Linked DNA regions of Diceros bicornis minor. The protein of the gene in region 1 interacts with the protein of each later gene in a biochemical or structural test. Links are inferred from orthologs where the notes say so. Each region holds a gene or a part of one and is shown on either strand. Other genes may lie near its edges.

Region 1 (7,753 bases):
TAGGCACATTCAGGTTGGAGTGAGTTTTTTGGGAAATCATTGAGTTTGATTTTAGGTGCTGAGATATCCAAGTGTATGTGTATCATTGGTAATTGAGAGTAGCAGGCTTATAACTCAAGAGATAAACTCTTAAAGATGTAGAGTTAGGGATTCTAAGTATAAAGTTGCTATGGGAATGAATGACAATGCACAGAGAGTTAATTTAGGTTAAGAAAAGGGGCTAGTGATAGAAACTTGGAGAGTGGTCATGAATGAGGCATAGGAAGGTGAGCTAGCCGAAAACCTAGTTGCTGTCAGAGGTAGAAGAACCTCTGACAGGTGGGTACAGCATTATGGAAGCCAGGGGAGGTGAGAGATGGTTAGCAGTGTGAAATGCTACAGAAATAAGGTAGGAGTAAGGGGCCACAGGATTTAGAATGTACAGGAATGATGATGACTTTTATAAGAAACATTTCAGTAGGTGGAAGGTTTTGTGTATTAGCAGCTGAGCTAATAGTTTTCAGGTCTTTCTGGCAGTTAAAGGAAGGAGAATAAGGAAATGATACTTTAAGGGGTTAATGGAGTTGAGGGAATTATGTTGAGAGTTTGAGAGTGTTATATGAAAGCAGTACTTAAAAATTTTAGTCTGTAGAATAAACTAGAATGAGTAGAGCCTAAAGGCAGGAAGACTTAAGTTAAGCAAGGAAGTTATTAAAACAGTCTGGTCATTAGTGAAATTTATAAATATACAAAACTTAAAGAGTTTCAACAAACAGCTTTACCCATAAATGTAAGACACCATAAACATGGTGCAGAGGAGAACAGAAGTGCTGAGTGGACACAATAAAAAAGGGATAGAAAAAGTAGTCTGTGAAATTGTTTGACCTAGGTTTAGAAGGAGGTGAAGGAAATAGGCTATTGGAGAGGAGATGAAGGACATACTAGATGTAATAATAATAAAAATATATATGTATGTGTGTATAAATATTTATACAGAGAGGGAGGGAGTGTTGGCAGATGGACTATTTTAAAAATAAATGAAAATGTTAGCAGGGCAGGTGAATGTAGATTGATATAGGCATTTCTTATTATTGGGTTACATTTCTTTTTCTTTTTTTTTTTTTTTGTGGGGCGATCAGCCCTGTGCTAACATCTGCCAATCCTCCTCTTTTTTTGCTGAGGAATACTGGCCCTGGGCTAACATCCGTGCCCATCTTCCTCCACTTTATATGGGACGCCGCCACAGCATGGCTTGCCAAGCGGTGCGTTGGTGCACGCCCGGGATCCGAACCAGCGAACCCCAGGCCACCGCAGCGGAGTGCGCGCACTTCACCACTTGCGCCACCGGGCCCGCCCCTTGGGTTACATTGCTTATTCTTAGATTATTAGATTGAGCCCTCTGTTGGAGAGGGACACAGATATAAATAAAATGAAGGCATTAGGTCTGGTATTAGAGTGCTAATGGTTAAATTTGTAAAGAGTATACCTAACATTTCTGGTGCTTACAGTATCTGTTACTTATACTGTATCCTCTATGATTATGTGTTCCTAATCTAAGGAAAAGTTTCTCAAATTGGAGTCTGCACATCACCTGAAATGTACGTTAAAAATACAGATTCATGCACTGCAACTTTATTCACTGAATCACCGTCTCCAGAGGTAGAGATCGAGTATCTGCATTTTTTACAGATTCCCCAGGTGATTTTGTTATAGAATAGAGTGTGAGACTCAGTCCTCTAGGCTTAAAACTTGGTTAATTTTTAAAAAAATATTTATATGCAGTGTATTCATTTTCTACCCCTGTAGAACACTGAGTGGGCTTCTTAATCTTTGGGACATGATTTCTTCATATATAATAAAAGGAAATGGATTAAAAGACTTCAGTTTCTGTTCCACTGAGAAATGCTCTGATTGAATACAAATGAGTTAAGAATTTACAGTGATTATTTTAGTGCATGCTTTAAGCTTCAGAATTTGGATTTTTGTGAGTTAACTTTTGATATATTAAATGTTTGATTTAAGAAATAATAGTTGCTCCCATGTATTGTGGCCCTATTAGTGCCAGGCAGCACTGTCCTACATACTGTTAAAACATTTTCTCTAATACTGTCAGCAACATGTCTGAGACTCGGGCCAAAGGACCTGCCCAAGGCTGCTCCTCCAGGAGGTCATGAACAAATGCCCATATATGTACCTAACATAGCAGGTGCTCAGCGTATAGGATTTAATTAAAAGCTAAATTCCTATAGGTATCTGAAGGAATTTGAGGAATGTAGTCAAACAGGTTTCATGTATTTTCAGCCCTTATGGAGGGAGACAAGAGTAAAGAAATGGCAAGCACTAAGCTCTGTGGATGAAAATGGGAAACATGGCTCTACCAGCTAAAAGTACTCAGGCCACAGGGTCTGCCTAACGACCTTCCATGCATCCTGGCAACAGCAGTAGGGGCATTTGTCTCTTGATATGTTTTTGGATATTCATGAATATTATAAAGAAATAAATTTCCTTTTATAATAAATGTTAGGAAAAAGTTTTCCCTTTGAAAGTTTATCCAGTTGTCTATGTAAAAAGAATTGAGTGAGGTGTTTTATATTTTAGGTTAAAAATCTGTAAGAGCCTGATTTTAGAATTCACCAGCTCCTCAGAAGTTTGGCGAAATATGGTATGTTTCTGTTTTATTTTTTGGAATTCAAAATTGCATGTGTATCTTAATGTCATGGTTAGAGTAATGAAAAATGTATTCAGCAAATTTGGGTGCCTGCCATTTTTAAAGCCTTGCGCTAGGTGCTGAATCACTATGCTACCAGGTAGACTGTATGAGGGACCCAAGTGGGATTCTGAAAGAATTTAGAAGAGGTTAGTGTGCTGTGAGAAGTAAAATAATATGCATAAGAAGATTGAGGAGCAGTGTGGCTGTGAGGCTCTGAGGTAATAATAGATTCCATTTGTTGAGCTCCTACTACGTGCCAGGCACTGTTCTGAGCAATTTGTACGTTAGTCTGTTCATCCTTGTGACAGCCCTCTGAAAGAGATACTACTATCATTTTAGTTCTACCTATGCAGAATCTGAGGCTCAGAGAGGTTAAGTAACTTGCCCAAGATTTCCCATCTAGTAAGTGACCAAACAGGGACTTGAATCCACACTGGCTGTGGAGCCTGTTTGTGCAGTGTTGGGCACTGGAACTCATGAAAAAGGGGGACTAGAAGAGAGAACTTGACTGAGTAGATTTCATAATACATGTAACTCTTTAATGAATTAATTTACCTCAGTTAATTAGTCAATTAAAAGGTATTATAACTTTTTCATTTTTATGTTTACAGGTTTGGATTAGTCTTATGAGAACCCAAGAGGGAGCAGTGTTCATTTCAGGGGTGCCATTCCTTTTCTTCATACGACCTCAGGAATGTTCTGGGTTCATATTAGGAGACATGTAGCTATGATAGGAAAATCTGAGAAATTGAATTATGCCTTCCAGGGATTATAAGTTCCATTTATTGGAGTCCCCTAAAATTTCTTATGTATATGTAGGCCAACTCTCACCCTTATATGAATTAGAATCCCAAGTTCATAGGCGGCGGAGGTGTGGGCTCAGGCATTGATGTTTCAGCCCTTCTCTTGGGGTTCTCAGATACCTTGCTGTTCTATATTGGGTTCTGACCCATGCTGGTAACCATCTTCTGTGGTTGTCTGTTGTCACTTTGAAGGTGTTAACTATCAAGGGTCTTTTTTTTATCTTTCCTTAGTTTGCTTTTTAGAATTGACCTGGATACACAGTTTGGTAGGGAAATCATCAGGGGAGAAACTAGTTGCATGGATTGAGCTTTTGGTACTGGGATATTTCAGATGTATATCTTTGCCAGAACTACAATATGATTAGAATACATGATAAATTTGAACCGTGACAATCAGGAAAGTTCAGCTAAGGCCAAATAAGGGGATCAAAAGATATTAGGTTGAGGGAGGAGGAAGTGTTTTCATATTTTGCCATTCTCTCTCATGAAATTGAATATGAATGGATTTATGGCTGAGAAAGAGTGGAACATGTTTTCATGAAGTACCCAAGGGGTTTTGGCTAGTGTTAGATCACCCTACTTAAATGTAGAATAAGTAGGACTAGACTTTGGTGTATATATGTGTGTGTGTGTATATATATGTATATAACTATTCCATTAAGCATTTGGCTACCTGGAACCTATGACTGTTAGTCTCATTTAAACTATTGTGGGGTCTCAATCCATATTCTAAGTTTTTGCTCCCTTATGTATGTTTAAATCATAGAACTCTGTATAGCAAAATTTAAACCAAATCAAAAAATGCTAACCCTGGATAGGAAGTCAGTAGATCTGGGTTTTAGTTCTAGCTTCAACACTAATTCTAAAATCTTGGGCAAGTCAGTTAATCACTCTAAGGGTGCTTAATTTTTTTTTTTTTAATTCTTAGTATAGTATCTACCCTGATTAGGTAGAGCCAAAGTTGTCATGGGAGTCAAACAAGATAGTGTTGACTAAAGTGCTCCATAAACTGTAATGCTCCATAAAAGTACAAAAAATTATTGCCACATTTTCTCAAGTGAAGAGATAATTTAAGGGAAAAAAATGCTGGAAAATAGTCCTTAAACACGTTTCTGTATTAATTACTCTTCTGACGAACATTGCGTTGATACCTAATTCAAAGCTTTGAAGATTATTTTTTGAACAATGAATTGGATTTATATATTAAAGTGTTCTAACCAAAGATTTGTTTAATTTATTAGAGTTATTAAACCTACGCTCAGATCAAGTTAGCAGCTAGACTGGTGTGACAACCTGTTTTTAATCAGTGACTCAAAGCTGTGATCCACCCTGATGTCACCGAATGGCCACAGCTTGTAAAAGGTAATTTTGAATGTTATTTTACAGCCTTTAAAAGGCTGTCATTGTAAAGTAAAATATGTGCTGTATAAAATGAAGAAAATGTATAGTTGGCAGGAATACTGCTAAGAATAGTGGACCTAAGAGTTGACATGCTTATCCATGTAATCTCCTGTCTAAAATATTTCGTGCTTTTGTCCCCCAGACCTATCTGTATGAACAACAGGAAAGCATTTCTCAAAAATTTCAAGTTTTTAAATAAACATTTTATTATGAACCTTATAAAACCTATGAAAAACTTAATATGCATTTTAAAGTGTACCTTTAATGTGGTGAGAGTTTTAACTAAACACTTCTCTAGAAGTTTTTACAATTTTAATAAAACTAGTATACTTTTCTGTCCTAGAGAGTTACAGTGGAGGTCAAAGGAGTGGTTTGCAGGCTGGAGAACCTACACTCACTATTATTGGAAGTGAGCCTCCATTTGAGTTTTCTAGCTCATGCTGCAGAATTCAGATTAGTGGGCATTTGTGATCACGTTTTCTGTGATCCAAATCAAGACCTAAAATTGAGACTCTTCCAAGATTTATTTTTTATTTTCTAATGTTACTTGCTTATTGTTTCAGTTTTAAAATTTCTGACTTGTTATTCTGACAAACTTTAGGTTAACCTAAGTCAATGGTTCTTGTTTTTTCCCCCTTTGATCACATGTCCTGAATTTGGTAAAATTACTAGTGTGTACTGGATCCTTACTTCCAACATCTTGACAGTAAAGAATAAAGAGACTCTTTAGGGGCCAAAGTAAAGCTTGGAAACTATGTTAGATATTAGATATTTCATTGTTTTGAGAATTTGAATCCTAACTTCAGGATATTTTTTTGTAAATTATTTAGAATATTGTAGAAATATACTCTAAGCAGAATGACTAGAAATTTATTCCAACGTGTACTCTTACTACTCACTGCAAGAAAATATTTCTACTAGTTCTATGTATATTCACTTTTCTCTTGATTAAAAAACAATTCCCATTTTGAGTAGAAAACAACTTGTGCTAACCATGTTTAAGACACCCAGGATAGATCTGTTTTAGGATAATAATCTTTCAGTCTTCTCTTATTCTTTTGTCCTTTTAGACTGAATTGGTTTAAAGTACTTGGTTTGACTAATGGCTTTTAGTAGCTCACTGTAATATATGTTAATATTAAATGATAATCTAGTATGTTTACAATAATTTGATGACATTTTGATGCTAATGTTTACGTATTCTCTTATTTGGGGAAAGACATTGGAAAATAGAATGTAGTTACTATTTGTTGATGTATTTAACCTCTATCCCATTTCAGAATCTCAAAACTTTGCAGCAGTTATAAGTTGTGCTTCTAAGACTCAGATTTGTTTTTCTTCTTGCTTGTGTCTTACCTTTTTGCAGCAGTATTTTAATTTTCCTGTCATTGTGTCATCATTTTTTTCCCTCTCTCTCTTTCCCTGTTAATTTTGAAAGTTTTGCTGCCTACATGTTTGAAAGCTTCTAATCTGCCTCTCTTCCCTTAGTGCCAGCAGATTTATTTTTTGTTTTGCAAGCCTGCTCTGCCTCCTTACAGTATGACATCTGATGCTGGAGGGTCGCACTTTCAAAAATGAGTCAGCTGGTACATGGGGTTATCATCAGTTTTTAGCTCTTCTGTCTGAGAGATACAAGTTTGGAAGCAATCTTGGGGTACTTACCCACAAGGCTGGTGGAGACCAGGTGTGTCACAAAGGTGATTTGCTTGCTCCCTGGGGGAGAGGGTGGAGTGAAATTTTTGCATTTGTGTCACTGCCAAGTCACTGCCACCTCCAGCATGCCTCAATTTTTAGTTGCAATGTAATTTTGTACAAAACTGAAAATATAAATACACAGCAAAGAAGATCTAAAAATTAATATTTGAGCTGCTGGAGTCTTTTTTTTTTTTTTTTTTTCCTTGCATTCTTGTCCTTGGACTCTGAACGCACTGCAGTGAGGGGTAATTTTGAAAGTCTGATAAAGAAGTGAGTTTTTTAAGAGCTAAGAAATGTGGAAACAGATTTTTTTTTTTTTTTCCTTGCTGGTGAATCTGATTTTAAGATTCTTTTGTTAAAGTTGTTCAGAATTTGAAGTCTCAAGTCAGTGATAAATTCACAAATCAAGTCCTTGGAATGTCATTTTGAAAATTTATCTTTTGACCTCTAAAAAGTATTTTACCTATTTTGAGAATTTGAAAGTATTAGAAATCAGTATTATGTTGATTCACTTTAATATACATTGACTGATGCTGTTTATAAAAGTAAATAGGGTAACAGGGATTTATTTTTTTAACAGTGTGGTAGGGGTAGGCAAAATTGGTTCATACCCCAAAATGAAATTAAAAGGCTTCTTTTGTGTCTTTGAATTTTGAATATTTCTACATAAGGTAGCAGTAGATTAAAAAAGTAATAGAAAGTAACTAGCAACTATTTATAATTGAAGTCAGTTCACAATTACCCACAGCAAAATTTTAATACCTCAGGATGGTACACTTTTGATAGGTAGTACATCCTATCCTGCCACTGTTTTTTCAGGGAAAGCTAATTTCATTGTTGAACCAAGATAATCATGATCAGAATGATAAATTTGACTTAAGTGTCTTAAAATTCAGGAAGGCTGTTAGATTTACATGTAAATTATCTAGAGCAGAGGTTAGCAAACTTTTTCTTAAAGGGCCAGATAATAAATATTTTAGGCTTCGCGGGCCATGTGTTTCTGTCAGTTTCTCAGCTCTGCTCGTGTAGTACGAAAGCAGCCATTGACAATATGTAAATGAACGAGTATGGCTGTGTTCCAGTAAAACTTTACAGAGATAGGTGGCTGACCCAGACCTTAGTTTGCTGACCCCTCATCCAAAGTTTGGGACTATAAATACCAGTG
Region 2 (7,659 bases), on another chromosome or scaffold:
GCGTAAATGGACAAATTGTGTCTGATGAAAAGTCCCCCTCTGTAATTTGCTGACATAAAGCAGACTATTTTATATTTGACGCCTGTGTCTTCACCCCTAAATATATTTACGTACACCAGGGATCTCCAGCAAAATATAAAAATACAAATGACCCAAAGCAAAATCCTGCCTTAGTCAGGTAGGGCCAAAAGCTGACCCAGCATGGATGAGGGAGCCCAGACGAGACAGATTAAGGGAGGCTCCATCCAAAGTGGGCAGAGAGATGCCAGATTCTGGGAGAACCAGCACAGGGATAACCAGTGAGGGCCGTTAGGACTCCTGGGAAGCTGAGATGCAATCAAACCAACCCTCTGAAAATGAGAACAATCTTGTACAGGCATCTTGCCACTTAACTCTAGACCTCTACACTATTTAAAATAAGCTAAAGTCACTCCTTCATCCGCCCACAGTTAGGTCACCAAAGCACTTTACCAACTTTTCAAATTTCAAGTCAGCAAGAATGACAGAAAAAACTTTCAAACTCCTAATTCCAGGCTCACTACTCAGTGGAAGAGCTCTAAATCCTCATATTCCATTTTATTTTACACTTTTTTAAGAAAGATATGCCTCTCTAACCCACCATTTGGATTCCTTACTGTTTTTCTGGTTTGCCACTTCAAAGTTTAATGACTGTCCACCTTAGAGCAGGAGGATTTATGAAAGGGTATGGGGGGGGGGGACGACCCAGGAATCTGCTATAGATTATTTTAAGGGTCATGGGGATCAGAGGATATTACTGAAGGATGATGGAGATAAAAAGTAGCTTCTTCCAGAGACATATGAGGAGAAGAATAAAGAAAAAGAGCCACTGCTTAAATTCAACTTGAAAAAAATAACACTAGTATAGCATAAGAGAAGAGGAAATAGCATGAAAAAGTGAGTGTCCCTGAAATTTGGTAAATTGAAGTTCTTGAAGAAAACAAAAAAGAATCTCCAAAACAACCTAGATTAACCATTTTACATCATTTATTGATTCATTTGCCTCAACTCTCCAAATCAGAAAAATCTCTTTAAAGGCCATCCAAAAACATCTGTCTCCACCTATTAAATTTTTTACCTCCCTAGTATGAGTTATTCCTTATGCAATTTGTGGAGAAAGCTCTGTTCAAAAAAGATGTATGTGCAACAGGTGAGGAGGAAGTCAGATGGTAACAGAATTCATTTTGATCGAGTTGTCTGGGCAGGCATTAGTAATTAAGTGGGATGACAGCCTTGGGGAGGGTCACAGATTAGTGATTAATAGGACAAGTAATTTGAAATCAGATTTGGGGGTCACTGATAAAAGTAATGAGGATTTTTACAAACTTCAGCAAGAAATGGGAAGAGGCAAGCCACAACGACAGCATGTGGGCAATGATTAAAAGAAAAAAACAGAAAAAGCAATAGAGAAAAACAGTTAGGGCTTCCAAGCCCCTTTTTTCATTTTTAAGAACACATAAACCTTGAGGAGCACTTAAGCTACCCTCATTGGGAGGCCGACCAAATGCACCAAGAAGCAGTTCGGAAAATAGGAAGCCTGTGGGGGGAAAAAATAAAAAAAAAAAAAGGGAGAGAGAGTACGGTACCTCTTGGCGCTGGTGGAGAGGAGTTTGGAGTTTTTGCTCATGCTGACTTTACTCTCCTTCTTCTTGGGGGTGTTTGTTTCTTTCTCGGTTTGCTGGTTGGAGGACGAAGATGAGGAGGAGCTGGTGCTGGCCCTCGAATCGTCATCCGACATAGCGAACCCCCCACCCCACCCCGCAAACAGCCCCTGCAGGGGGAGAGAAACAAAACAGAAACACATCAACCATGCAGCCAGTGTAAATACGGAACTCGGGCGCTGTCAGGAGGGCTCTGACCAGGGGTGCACCCGGCCGCCCACCGCCCTCCACTAGCTTTTCAAAGTCTTCAGGCCCATTAAGGCTTTTGCAAGTCGGACGCGGCTTGTTTATTTTTGGCCCCAAGTGGGGGACGCGGTGGGAAAACGGTCAGGAGCACAGCGAGCGGCCCCTCCCTCGCCCCCCGGGGCTCCCCTCGGGGCAGGGAGGGGACAAGCCGAGCGGGCGGGGGAGGAGGGCAGGGCGGGGGCGCGGGCACCTCGGCGGGGCAGGGAGGGAAGGTCCCGGCCAGCGGCCGGCCTCGGGGCCGTTTCTGTCGGCTTTCCGGGGGTCGCGGGGGCCGCGGCCAGGAGCGGAGTTTGGCGAGGTCGGGAAGCGAGGAGGGCAGAGAGGAGTAAGAGAGGAAGCCGAAACGGGGGGACGGAGGCGAGGAGCGGGTGCCCGGGTGGGGGAAGGGAGAGGCCGGCGGGGGGGCAGGGGCGACAAGGCCGAGGGCCCCCCGCGCCGCGCCCCGACGCCCCTCCCCGCCGGCCTGCCCCTCGGCGACCCGGCTGGGGCTGCGCGGCCGGGGCGGGGGTCCCGGGCACACGCCCGACTGCCACCCTGGTGGGGGGGTGCGAGGGGGGCCTCGGCCTCCTGCGCGAACGAATAACAATGAGCCCGCCCGCCCCGGAGGAGTTAATCCCCGCGGGCCCCCGCCCCAGGGGAAACGGGGCTCCCCCGACTCCCCCTCCCCCGCTCCCGGCCCCCTGGGCGGCCAGTGAGGGGCTCCCGGGGCAGCGCTGACAGTTCGAGGTACAGTGCCCCCCCCGCTCCCGACACGGGCGGCCCCCGCACCCCACGCGGCCCGGGGTCCCTGCCCATCCCCCGCGGGCGGGCCCCGGACCCCTGGGGCTCCCCGGCCCCTCTCCGCCCCCCCCAGCCCCGTGCCCGGCGGCCCGGGTGGCGCGGGTCGGGGGAGGCGGCGAAGGGTGTCCCCGAGGCCCGGCGACGCGGCCGGGGGGCGGCGGGCGGCGGGGGGGATCCCCGTACCTCTCTTTGTGTCTGGCTCCTCCGTGCCGCCGCGGCGGCTGCTGCTGCGGCTGCGGCTGGGCCTGGCCACTCGTGTCTCTCTCTCGCTGGGAGAGAAGCGGAAGTGCAGCAACAGCAACTATTAAACAGGCAATGGCTTCCCCCAGCCACACACGCTCTCACACACACCACTCCTCCTCCTCCTCCTCCTCGCCCTCACCCCTCCCCCACCCGCCCGGTCCCACCCACCCGCGCTCCCCTCCCCCTACACACCTCCGGGGGGACGCGAGGAGGGCACAGGGGACCCCGGGAAACCCTGCCCCCTCCCCACCCACACCCCCACCCCAGCGCCTCCTCGGGACGCCAGGGAAGGGGGCGAGGGGTGTGAATTTCCTCTCAAGTGGTTCGGGGACCTGGATCCTGGGCTGGAGAGGGGAAGCCGTTCCAAGATGGGGGGCGCTGGGAGAGATTGGAACTGTATGGAATAGGGGGGTCACGAGAGGAAGTTCTTTCCAATAAGGGCTTTTGGAAACGGGGGGGGGATTGGTAAATTGGGGGAAAAGATGGTAATCTGGTGGCAAGGACTTTGGACTAGAGAATGCGGCGGGACCTCCTCCTAATAAGTGATCAGTTTAAGGGGAAAAAAATCCCACAACAGGATTTTCCTTTGGGTTGACACTGGCTTCTCCCTCTGGCGATTTACCTGCTAGGAGCAGAGGTCGGTTTAGGCACGCCTGTTAGAAAATCCCAAACTAGGACTTTTCTGCTCAGGCACGTGCAATTTTACAATTTTAGATTCTTCCAGTCACTTTTTATAGAAAGTGGTGGTATTTTATAAAAGGGATACAAAAGATTTCGTGACAGGTAAAACCAACGTGTAACAGGCTTACAAATGTGAGAAATCACTGGGAATAAACCTTATACTACTGAATTATGATTTAGAATTTTTGGTGTCAGCTTACTTTAGAAAGTTTGGTTTTTGGAAATTAGATTAAAAGTTTTGGGGACTTCTGTACCTTCCTCAACTACAATATCAATGCTATTCAAATAATCAATATTTTTAGGTTAATCACTCAGTAATTCCTCTGAATTGTTCCTTATTGAGCATTTTTACCAAGATTAATTTTTTTAAGATTAACCCATGAAATTATGACTTAGCTTCTCACTTATTTGTATTTCGGTTGAAGGAAACTAAAGAGGTGTGTGTAATGCCACACATACAAGGTCTGGTACATTAAGGAGACCGCCCAGTCAGATTTCCATGGGCCACTCTAAATTATCTCAAATTGCCATCCTTTTCCATGGAAACAGTGGCTTCAGTTACCACAGGAGGACACAAGATATAAAGCCCATGGCATATCCACTAACCAGGAAAACAAACATTCTTACCACCCACCTAAACCCTTCTAGCCTTCAACATGAAACTCCAACTGTATCAAGATTCATAAAGTAATTGTGCACAATTCCTGCTCAGTTCTTACTGGGAAACCTGTATCTACCAGGAATTGTCATAGAATCAAGGAGTCCAAAGCTGGAAAAAAACCTTATAGATCATCATTTCAGCCTCCTGCCTCTTACCTCCAGTCAGAGCTATCACTCAGTCACTCAAATGCACAGAAATTGTGAAAAGATCCCCAGACATAAGTGTTTGGTTTCGGGGATCCTGGTAGAGCATATATAAATAATGACACTCCCTGATGTGTGTTATTTGAAAACAACAACAAAAATCTCCTTAAAACCAGGTTGTATACTCTTTGTACTTCGGATGAAAAAGATACAAATTCAAGAGAAAGCAATGAACAAACATGAAATAAACTCAGTTGAGATGAATAAAATAAAGACAGTTATTAAAATGGAAACTTCCTCTTATGAATATTTGGGTTTCTGATACTTTAAAATACACGTCAACACTATGAGTACAACCAGTAAAAAATCATATATGTATAAAGATGAGAGCTGGCAGAGAATACAGGAAAACAAAAGAGTTGACTTGCTGTTGTGACCAGGACAGTGGGTGAATTTTTCACTAATTTTGGTTTGCATAAATTGTATACTTGGATACTAACTCTAATAATATTTTTTTTAAAAACTGAACATGGTTATTTTGTGTTTCATTGTTGATGCTTGGGTTGGACTGGTCCCTGGGGAAATAAATCGTATAACCGAAGGAGTCCTCTTCTATAGGGAACTGCTTTCCCAGCCACCAGTCTGGAAGGCTACTGGCCCTCTTGTGTGCTAGTCCTTATCTCTAACCCTGGTTAGTGCTTTATGGTTTAGGAATGACCTACTGAGGGGGAATAAAAACCTCAAAATGTTTAGAAAAGAATCCATTGCTCTCAAAAGACTAATCTTTATGTCAGATTACTTTAAATATACAGTTGTCTCAGTCACAAAAAAATCAAAATTCATTTGCAGCCTTCCAGGTCTTCTTACTTATTAACTACAAGGCCTAAGGACCTAAAGTGACCTCTCTGACCCTCAGTCTCCTCATCTATAAGGGGCAAAAATACCTGCACCGTACTGACTGGCAGAGTTGTTAGAAGGATCAAATGTGTATCTATAGTAAAATGATTAATTAACTGTTATGCAAAGTAAATTATTAATAATCCCACCCTGATCCTACTGCTCAGGAATTTTGTCAGGACACAGGGTCTTTATGACTTAGAATTGATGACAAGTGTAAGAAACCTCCTAGGAGAAAGATAAAGTCAAGGAATCACAGGATTTTATTTACTCAAAGGGGCCTAAGATATCTTGGAGTTCAAACTCCTTATGTTCCAGATGAAGAAATTAAGGCAAAGAAAGCCAGTACGTCTCATCCAAGGTCATGCAGTAAGTCGGTGGCAAAATTGTGGCTATGGCCCATGCTGCCCACAGATGATTTTGTCAGTTCTGGCAATATTTAGGGGGTGGGGAAGAGCCTCAATTACATTAAAGAAAAATATATTAAATATAAAAGAACTCCAGTAATATTTTCAAGAACATATTAACAATCAAGACAGTTGGGAAAGTGGACAAATGGAACCAAGTTAAAGGAATCACTGATTTTATAACATTTACTTGAACCAATTAATGAACAATATTGATGTTCCTTACACCTCATTCTGAGAATAATAATCATTATTTCATATTTATGGATATATTTCAAGTAGGTAATACATTCTCATGCTATATTATCCTAAAGAAACCAAAGGGTAAGCCACGAAAATCTGCCTCTGCCCCTCCCCCCAACTCTGTGGTAGTCTATGCTTGCAAAAGCAAATGCATACGTATACACTGGATGCTTTGATAGAAATGCTCAATTTACATTTAAAAGATGCATTCAGTCACAGAAGCCCAAGTGGTGCAACACTGTGATATCTGTGGGCTTTAAGAAAATGGGCTTCAGTTTTTACTAATACCTATTCCTGATCTCAAAATGATCCAACTCTCTTCTTCAAGCCATCTTGAGAGTATCAAGTGCATTTAAGTAGGAGCACTTGAAGATCAAGGTGCTGACTGATCCCTAGGTGAAGTGATACAGTTGATTCAGAAGAAAGAGACCCCATCTAACTTTTGAGCACTCCTATTTTTGGCTACTTGCTTACACTGAACTTAAATATTTCATAAAAGCAACAATCCTCTTTGGGGCCAATTTCACATCCAAAGAATTGTCAAGCAAATTAACATTTGTTAATATGGGTTTTTAAACTTACCTTATGACTGGATAGAAAGGATTTCCTTTTTCTGTCAAAAGAAAAAAAATCTTATGTTTGGAATTTAGGAAGAATTTCTGTAAAGGTTTTCTGAAAAGATGGACTCACTGTGGATTTCAATCTACTTGTTTTATTTTCTTTTTTTTTTTTTGTGAGGAAGATCAGCCCTGAGCTAACATCCATGCCAATCCTCCTCTTTTTGCTGAGGAAGACCGGCTCTGAGCTAACATCTATTGCCAATCTTCCTCCTTTTTCTCCCCAAAGCCCCAGTAGATAGTTATATGTCATAGTTGCACATCCTTCTAGTTGCTGTATGTGGGACGCGGCCTCAGCATGGCCAGAGAAGCGGTGCGTCGGTGCGCGCCTGGGATCCGAACCCGGGCCGCCAGCAGCGGAGTGCTCGCACTTAACCGCTAAGCCACGGGGCCGGCCCTTGTTTTATTTTCTGATGCTCCTTTGCCTGAAAAATTCATTCCTTATACGGAAGGATAAGGAAGGTTCGCAAAGAAGGGTCAATTCCATGAAGCCTAATGGGATCTGGGGCTTTTATCTTCAATTCGGGTCATTATTCCATAGGCCTTTTTTTAACACACTGATCTCTTTGAAGGACCCTAAGCGTTGTCAGACTTTATTTGTCCTGAAAGTTGCTATCACAGGAAGCTAGGACAGAGCTAAATTATTTTTTCTACCACATGGAGGCATTGAACAACCATGTGATTTTCAAAATTTACCAAGACTTGATAAGAGTCTAATGCTTTCTCAGGCAAGGGCAAAAAGGTTTGTTTGATGTTGACAAACGGATAATGCTTAGTATGAAAGCATTCTTCTCACCTTATAATTTAGCATCTGCTCTGTAGGGCCTATTCTCTAAACAAACCAGCCTTCTTCAGCCTCCTATACATTGATAACATAAGGACAGACTGTATTGGAATCTACTGGATTGCAGTTTGAGCAGTTTGGTTAGTCTCTGAAACCTTTTCTTGAACTTAACACTTTTTCTGTTTACTAAAATTTGGAGGAATGAAATAGTAGGGAAAAATTACTTTTATTTCACGCACTTAATTTATTGTGAAACTTTGTTTTAAATATCAACTTTC
Region 3 (7,292 bases), on another chromosome or scaffold:
TTGCGGCTGGTCTCGCAGGAACTCCAGGGGGTTCTCTCCCGCTGGCAGGAACAAGGTGTGTGGTCAGATACCACACTGGACTCCCAGAAGCACGGGGGTGGGGGGTGGGGGGGAATCAGATGTCTCGACAGCAGACAGCCCCCCACGAACGGCTCCCAGTCCACTCACCTGTTTCTGTGGTCGGCGGCTCAGACACCTGGCTCTCCTGGACAGAACCGGGTTCTGGCTCAGGGCTCCCAGGAATTCCCTGTCAGGGGTCCCGTTTAGTTCCAACACACAGACCGCCCACCATCTCCCTCCTGCGTGCTCAGCCCTGGCAGGAGACAGGTGAGGCCTGGGCCCTCCCTCCACTTCCCTCCCTCCCCCACCCGCTGCTCATGTGCAGCCTCCCGCAGGAAGCCTTCCTGGCTGGAACCACGACCCAAATACTTTTGGGGGCAGGTTTTGCCTCCCTGACCACCCCCCAGAGCATTGAAGCCCACGTCCTCCCTCGAGGCCTCCCCAGGAAGCAGCAGCCCCCCTCACCGTGAGCAGATACTCCACGGCCCGGTGGGGGTTGTTGTAGCTGGCTCTCAGGGCGGCCACGACACGCTCCCGCTCATAGCCCATGGACATGATCTCCGTCAGCATCGTCTCATACTCTGAGCCCGTCACTGTGGAGGGAGCGGCGAGGCCTGGGTCACCAAGGAGAGAGGACAGCTCCCAGGCCCTCCCACACCCATACAGGGCCCAGCTGATGGCTCGGGCGCCCAGTCACTCTGCCCTGGGGACCACCCACCCACCTAGCGTGGAGGCCGCGTCTTCCTCTCGCCCGCTGCTACCTGAAGAGGGAACAGAGCTGCAAATTCAAGAAAGAGAAATCGGACCCTGGCTTCTGGCTGCTTGCCCTCCCCCCAGGTGTGTGGGATCACGTAAGTGGGCGCTGGAACATGCTGGGAGAACAGGGCCCAAGCTGGGACTGCCGCTCCTTGCCTTACCCTGACACGGACTCCGGGGACGTCGTGGGGACTGATTCCTCCGATGGGCTCTTGTCCTCTCTGTCGGTGGGTGGGGGTTGGGACATGCCTGAGGCAGGGGCCGGAGGGAAGGTTGTGGAGGACTCTGGGGCAGCAGTGGGTGAGGCCTCTGGGGGTACTGAAGTGCTTGGGCTAGTTTTGGCCTGTGACACCCAGAAAAAGAGAGCAGACATCAGTATCCCTATCTAGCGCCCACACCCCGCCCCGTCTCAGCCCCGCCTGTTCACGGCTAATCTCTCCTGGGCACACACAGCTCTCTGCCAGCTCCCCAGCTAATCCACCCACCCTTCCAACGAGCACACTGCACCCACCTTGGTCACCATGACGACCACAAAATTCTTCTCATCGATGCGATAGTCCCTAATGGGGACATCATCGCTCAAGATCTTGCCAGCATAGATGAGTTTCTGTCCGGCCACAGGGAAGGCATCACGACCCTTCTCAGCTTCTATCTTTTCCTTTAGCACTTTCACCTGCAGGGACGGGGACAGTCATTGCAAACCCCAAGAGTCTCTCTCCCTTCCTAGCTTGGGGGGGAGAGGCTGCAGGCCCTGACGGCAGAGGCTACACTTCGTAGTCAAGCACGCTGGATTTGAGTTTGTTCCTTCATCTCACCACTCAGCAGGGTATTTACTGAGCACTCGTTATGGATCAGGGGCTGTTTCAGGCACTGAGAAGCACAGCAGGGAACAGAACTTCACGCAAGTCCCTGCGCTCATGGAGGTGACACTAATGTGGGGAGATGAAAAAAACAAATATATATCTCAGATGGCGAAAAGTATGATGAAAAGTCTATCAAAATACAGGGGCAGATGGAAGGGTTCCTCATTCCACACTACTGACAACGGTGTTTTTACTGAATGCATCGTAAGGTGATAGCGCTTTCATAAACGTATACACATCACGCTTTTAGAGCCTCATAATAACTGTATGACATGGACATCATTAGCCTCATTTTACAGTATTTGAGAAAACAAGGCACAGAGAGGTTAAGTAACTTGCTGCAAGTCAAACAGTTGGTCGGGACAAAAAAAAAAAAGAGTGTTTCCTCTCCCACCAAAAGCGGACTTCAACGTCTCCCTCATGACGTAGTTGTGCAAAAAGCACCAGGGACATAGTCAGACACTTGACATACTTGTGACGTCCTAAGTCTCTTCCAGCTAAAAAGGCAACATAACGTTCAGACCAGGGGCTCTCACACGAGCAGGAGCGAATTTGCATCCCAGCTCTGCCATAACTTGCTGTCCGCGACTATGGCACAGTGCCTCAACCCCTAGATTTCCGCATCTGCAAATTAGGGCGAGTCAGAGGCCCAAATGACAAGCCTGTTTTGCACATTTAGTAAGATAATAACACTACAGCACTCTGCGACTGGAAAAGAATAAACGGCCAGCAAACACAGACCACTGAAACGCACACGATTTATTGTCATTATCGTCGTCGTTGCCGTCACCACTCGGCATCTCCTGGTCACTACTCCCAGGTTCGGCCACCAGCGTCCCGAGGAGACGCCTGCAAAGCTGGGAGCTCGGAGACCCGGTCCTGGAGAGCGCGGCGGGGCCGGGAATCTGAGCCTGCGGCTCCCGCGCCCCGTGAGGGCGCTGACACTGGAGCCGGAGCCTGGCGGGCGCCCGGGGGTGGGGCCTCGCCCGGAGCCCAGCCCCTGAGCACCGCCCAAGTGGAGTCGCCAGGGGTTGGGCTAGGCTGGGCACCATCGGGGGGTCCCGGAAAGTCAGGCAGGGTGGGCAGGGTCCGGCCCGCGCCGACCTCCCCGCCCCTCCCGTCGGGATCCCGGCCTCCCCGCCCCCACCCCACGCCCAGCACCCGTCGCTCCCCCCCCCAGGCTCCGGCCCGGCTCGCACCGTCTCGTCAGGCTCCATGCGGATCTTGAAGGTCTGCTGCTGCAGCGTTTTGAGCGTGATGGTGACGGCCATGGCGGGGCCCGAGCGACGCGGCAGCCCCGGGATCCTCACACAACATGCAACTCACGCCGCCGCCATCTTAGCGCCCAGCCGCGCCGCACGCCTACCGCTTCCGGGGCAAGCGGTGCGCGCGCCGACCACCAGAGCACGTGACCTGCGCGCGCCCCCTTGGCCTCCTTAGGCATGCGCACGAGAGCGCCCTCGGGCCAGGCATGCGCAGATTAGAGACCGCTCCGCGGGAGGGGAGGGGGCTTCTCGCTCAGCGCGCACACCCATCAGGTGGCTTCTTGCGAGTGACGCCATGCCCGTTAGCGGTGACGTCATGCGGCCACAAAATGGCTCCGGGGTCCCCACTTTCACGCCCTTATTAGCTTGTTATTTGTGGATAACGTTGAACAAAATTTTTCATGTACTTGCTCTAGATATTTGTATTTCTTCCATAAAATCCTTGTTCGTGTTTTTTTGCTGCTCCCAAATGAGTTTTATTCTGGTCTGGCCACCCTGACAGGAACCCTGTCAAGCACTGAAAAGTGGAAATTCTAAGGAACAAGTCTGGCCGTGGAAGCAAGGACATCGGGCCATTTGGTGGCGTCGTTCATTCCTGAGGGACAGCTGGATTTGGGGAAGGAACCTGCAGTTCTAGTTCCTGGGTCTCCCAGTTCTCTGCTGTCCCACCCCACTATCTCCAGTCTGATCCCCAAAGTATTTAAGAAAGATGTTAACTTTCAAGGTCTCCCTACATTGAATACAGAATTCCCTCAACTTGCCCTGGATGCACAACTCTGCAGGCTTCCCAGAGGGCTGGGGCTGGGCCACAGGACAGAAACTTGAAGGAGGCCCATCCAAGGAACAAGGAATTAAAGTGTTGGCTGGCCAAAGGTGAAGACGGGGCTTGGGGGACTGGATGGAGGTGAGAGTGGGCTTATCTCACAGCTGGTTGGGGGGGAGGGGCCCTATCCTGCTCTGACCCTTGCCTGCCTCCAAACTTCTTCTCAGAGTTTCCATTCAAGCTGGGCACCAGGCAGTCACGTGATACCTCACCCACTGCCCCACTGTAACCAGGTCCTGCTGCCTCTCCCTTCACTGCATGCCCTGGCACAGAAGCTTCTACCAGAATAGGCCAGGCTCAGCTGACGGCTTCTTACCTCTCTCCTGCAACAAGGGACATCAGCTTCCAACCACTCACAGGCCTTCAGTGGCAGCCTTGTGGACCTTAGGCCAGCCTCAGGGGCCCAGACACCACTCTGCTATCTCTGCACCCCCCCTCAGGGCCACCTTTCCCTTCAAGAGGTTCAAATCCAAACTTCACCACTGAAGACCACGGACAAGCTATATACTGTCTCTGAGCCGACCTCCTTGATTATAAAGGAATTAATAGCTTTTACCACTGGCTGGTATTAAGAAAATCTTTAAAATTGTCCAATTGCTCTACCCAGTCTTGCCTTACCTTGATAGGTAAGAAATATGTATGGTTCAGTAACAGGGACAGGATGAGATGGTGGCTCAGGTGTGGGTTCATACCCGTGCCCCACCTCTTACCAGACTGTGGACCTCAGTCTCCTCAAACTGAATTGGTACTAGAACCGAAACTCATCACTTTGGTGCAAGGACTCTGAGTTAATACGTGGAATATCTGTAATGGCATTTAAAAGTTACTCTTCTCCCACTAGTCTGGGGTTGTGGGGGTAAACAAGGGCCCCTCTAACCTTATGGGACACTCAGCCAACTTTAGTGGCTGAAAAATGAGTCTTACTCAAGAGTCACCTCCCCCAGAAGGAGACACAGGAGGAAGACACAAAACTTAATTTAATAGAAATTCTGTTTGTAGTTCTTACATTCTCAGTGTGAACCGAGCTGGAACCTGCTGCCCCACCCAGAAGTGGCCCAGTCCTGGGAGCAGGGGAGAAAGGGAGGGGGTGGGGAGGTCAGAGCTCACGCCCTAGAGCTCAGGGCCTAGGAGCCCCATTCTTGCTCAGTGCTGGGCGACTGGGGACGCCACCCTCTTCTCCTGCCCTGCTCTGGGAGCCAGGACCGAGAGCAGATGGAATCTCGGGCCTGGGGCTTCTCCTCCACACCCCTCATGCCCCCAGATTGGAAAGGAACTAAGGGATCTGGGGAAAGAAGGGACCAGAAGGCGGCAAAGATGTCAATCAAGAAAGATGAGAACCCTGGGGTGAAGATAAAGGAGCACGAGACAAAACACCAGGTTAAAAAAAAAAAAAAAAAAAAAAAAAGCGGGAACAACAAAACTAAAATCCACCCCAAATTGGAACCCGCCTGGAAAAAAATGAAAGTTCTCCAGTCTCATAGAGACATTATTTGGCGTGGCCGGCTCTGCGGCAGGAGCGCTCAGGCCTCAGTCCAGCCCCGGAGGCGGTGGCACGGCCCCTACAGCTCATCCTTGGCCTGGCCAGCGGCAGCGTCTTCCTCCTCATCCTCCTCCTTGTCGTCCTCATCGTCCTCGTCCTCCTCCTTGTCGTCCTCATCTTCCTTGTCCGCCTCCTCCTCCTCCTTACGCTTCTTGTCTTCCTCCTCCTCCTTTAGCCTCTGCTCCTCGTCCTGCTTGTCCTTCATCTGCTTTTCCGCCGCCTGCGTGCAGACCACACGCTCAGGGCCTGGCCCCCGCGTGCCAGCCCTGCCCACCCCCAGCCCAGGACCGGACCCTGGGCCCACCTTCGTGACGCCCCACGTCTCGTTGCCAAACTCCTCTGCATACGCCTCGTCGTTGGTGATGAGAAAGTTGTCAAAGATGGTGCCAGACTTGACCTGGGGGGACAGGGGGAGAGAGGGAGGGGTGGTCAGAGGGGGCACCCCATGGTCCTGGCCTTGGACAGGGCTCCTACCCGCGTCCCCATAACCACTACACAACGCTGCAGTCTAAGTGCGGTTAAAACACACATAACCTGGGTTCGAACCCCAGCTCCTCCATTTCCTGCCTGTATGACCTCGGGCTGGTCACTTCCTTGCACCTCAGTTTCTTCCTCTGTAAGATGGGGTCTCACTCCTTGTTCAAGCATTGTTCCAGTTCCTACTATGTGCCATTCTAGGCACAAAAGGTGTATCAGTAAAAAAGAAACAAAAGTTTAGTCCCATGAAGCTAATTTTCTAATGGAGTTATCTAATCACCTTCTAGGTTGTTGGCACCAGTTAACAGGGTTGATCTGCATAAAGGTACTAGGAGAAGTACCTGGCACGTAAACAGAACCTGTAAGTGGCTGCTGTGACAACTCCATAGAGACAGAGCAAGAAATTCTTCAGAAAGAGCACCACCTTGGGGTCAGACTTGCCTAGGGTTCAATGCTACCCCTGTCCCTTTTCTCCTGCGTGACTCGGAGCACCTGAAGTCCCCTAGGAGTCCTCCTCTTCCCTCTATGTCTCACCTGCCAGAGATCCAGGCCCAGTACAGCAAAGTTTTCATAGGCGTAGATGTTGCTATCTGGAGAGTATTCGGGGTTGTCGATCTCTGGGTGGATCCACGTGCCCTTGTAATCTGGGTTGTCGATCTGCCGGGGCTTCCACTCGCCCTGCAGAGGGAGAAGGGAACCGGACGGTGAGCGGGACAGTGCACTCCTCACTGTGTGCTCCCGGCTGCTCCGAGCCCCAGACTCACCTTGTACTCTGGGTTCTGGATCACTGGTGGTTCCCATTCTCCGTCCATCTCTTCGTCCCAGTCCTCTGGCTTCTTAGCATCGGGATCAGGAATGTGCTCAGGCTTGTCCCAGTCCTGAGGGCACACGAGGAGGTCAGAGTTGGCCCCACTCTCCTCCACACCCTCCACGGTGGGGGGCCCTGCCCAAGCACCAACCTCAGGCTTGGAATCTGTGGGGTCATCAATCTTAGCCCGTTCGTCCCAGTCTTCGGGCTTCGCAGCATTGGGATCCTTTATTTTCTTGGGGGGCAGGAAGTCCCAATCGTCCTCCAAGGAGCCCGACTCCACCTGGCTGTTGTCAATCTTCACCTCATAGGTGTTATCTGGCCGCACGATCAGTGTGTACAGGTGTGTGAATTCATCGTCCTGGAGAGGGCGGGAGGTGAGTGGCCCCGCCCACCAGGCTGGCCTCTGAGCCTCCCCCTGGCAGCCCTCTGTCACCACCCCCAGGCACACCTTGCAACGGATGTCCTTGTTGATGAGCACGTTCTTGCCCTTGTAGTTGAAGATGACATGAACCTTCTTAGTGCCAGGGCCACAGATGTCCGGGCCTAGGTGACAAGCAGGTTCAGTTCAAGCTAGAGGCTGCCCACCATTGTGAGCCCCTCCACCCCTCTTTACAAAAAGAAGACAAGATTCAGACTCTGACTCTCTCTAACCGGCTGTGGGTGGAGCCTTAAGGAAAAAAAAAAAAATCAGTACTCC

The links.
Region 2: the proteins of UBE3A (region 1) and ubiquitin-conjugating enzyme E2 E1 form a complex in vitro, tested with the Homo sapiens proteins (2 studies listed by BioGRID). The link is inferred for Diceros bicornis minor from reciprocal best matches to the Homo sapiens genes UBE3A and UBE2E1.
Region 3: of the proteins of UBE3A (region 1) and RAD23A, one has a biochemical effect on the other in vitro, tested with the Homo sapiens proteins (9 studies listed by BioGRID, with this or other methods). The link is inferred for Diceros bicornis minor from reciprocal best matches to the Homo sapiens genes UBE3A and RAD23A.

What each region holds. Positions count from the first base shown.
Region 1 is NC_080744.1:75,727,823-75,735,575, forward strand, and holds the start of UBE3A (ubiquitin-protein ligase E3A), read left to right. Parts: upstream 1-4,733; 5' UTR 4,734-4,834; coding exon 4,835-4,854; intron 4,855-6,381; exon of another isoform or gene 6,382-6,577; intron 6,578-7,753. UniProt on the Homo sapiens protein: E3 ubiquitin-protein ligase which accepts ubiquitin from an E2 ubiquitin-conjugating enzyme in the form of a thioester and transfers it to its substrates.
Region 2 is NC_080741.1:28,971,416-28,979,074, reverse strand, and holds the start of ubiquitin-conjugating enzyme E2 E1, read right to left. Parts: upstream 3,040-7,659; 5' UTR 2,889-3,039; intron 1,790-2,888; 5' UTR 1,757-1,789; coding exon 1,605-1,756; intron 1-1,604. UniProt on the Homo sapiens protein: Accepts ubiquitin from the E1 complex and catalyzes its covalent attachment to other proteins. Catalyzes the covalent attachment of ISG15 to other proteins. Mediates the selective degradation of short-lived and abnormal proteins.
Region 3 is NC_080769.1:4,461,364-4,468,655, forward strand, and holds the start of RAD23A (UV excision repair protein RAD23 homolog A), read right to left. Parts: upstream 3,040-7,292; 5' UTR 2,951-3,039; coding exon 2,879-2,950; intron 1,490-2,878; coding exon 1,328-1,489; intron 1,160-1,327; coding exon 978-1,159; intron 839-977; coding exon 783-838; intron 654-782; coding exon 526-653; intron 248-525; coding exon 169-247; intron 42-168; coding exon 1-41. Other genes in the region: CALR (calreticulin), read right to left, coding at 5,327-5,527, 5,612-5,704, 6,319-6,462, 6,549-6,662, 6,744-6,953, 7,044-7,138. UniProt on the Homo sapiens protein: Multiubiquitin chain receptor involved in modulation of proteasomal degradation. Binds to 'Lys-48'-linked polyubiquitin chains in a length-dependent manner and with a lower affinity to 'Lys-63'-linked polyubiquitin chains.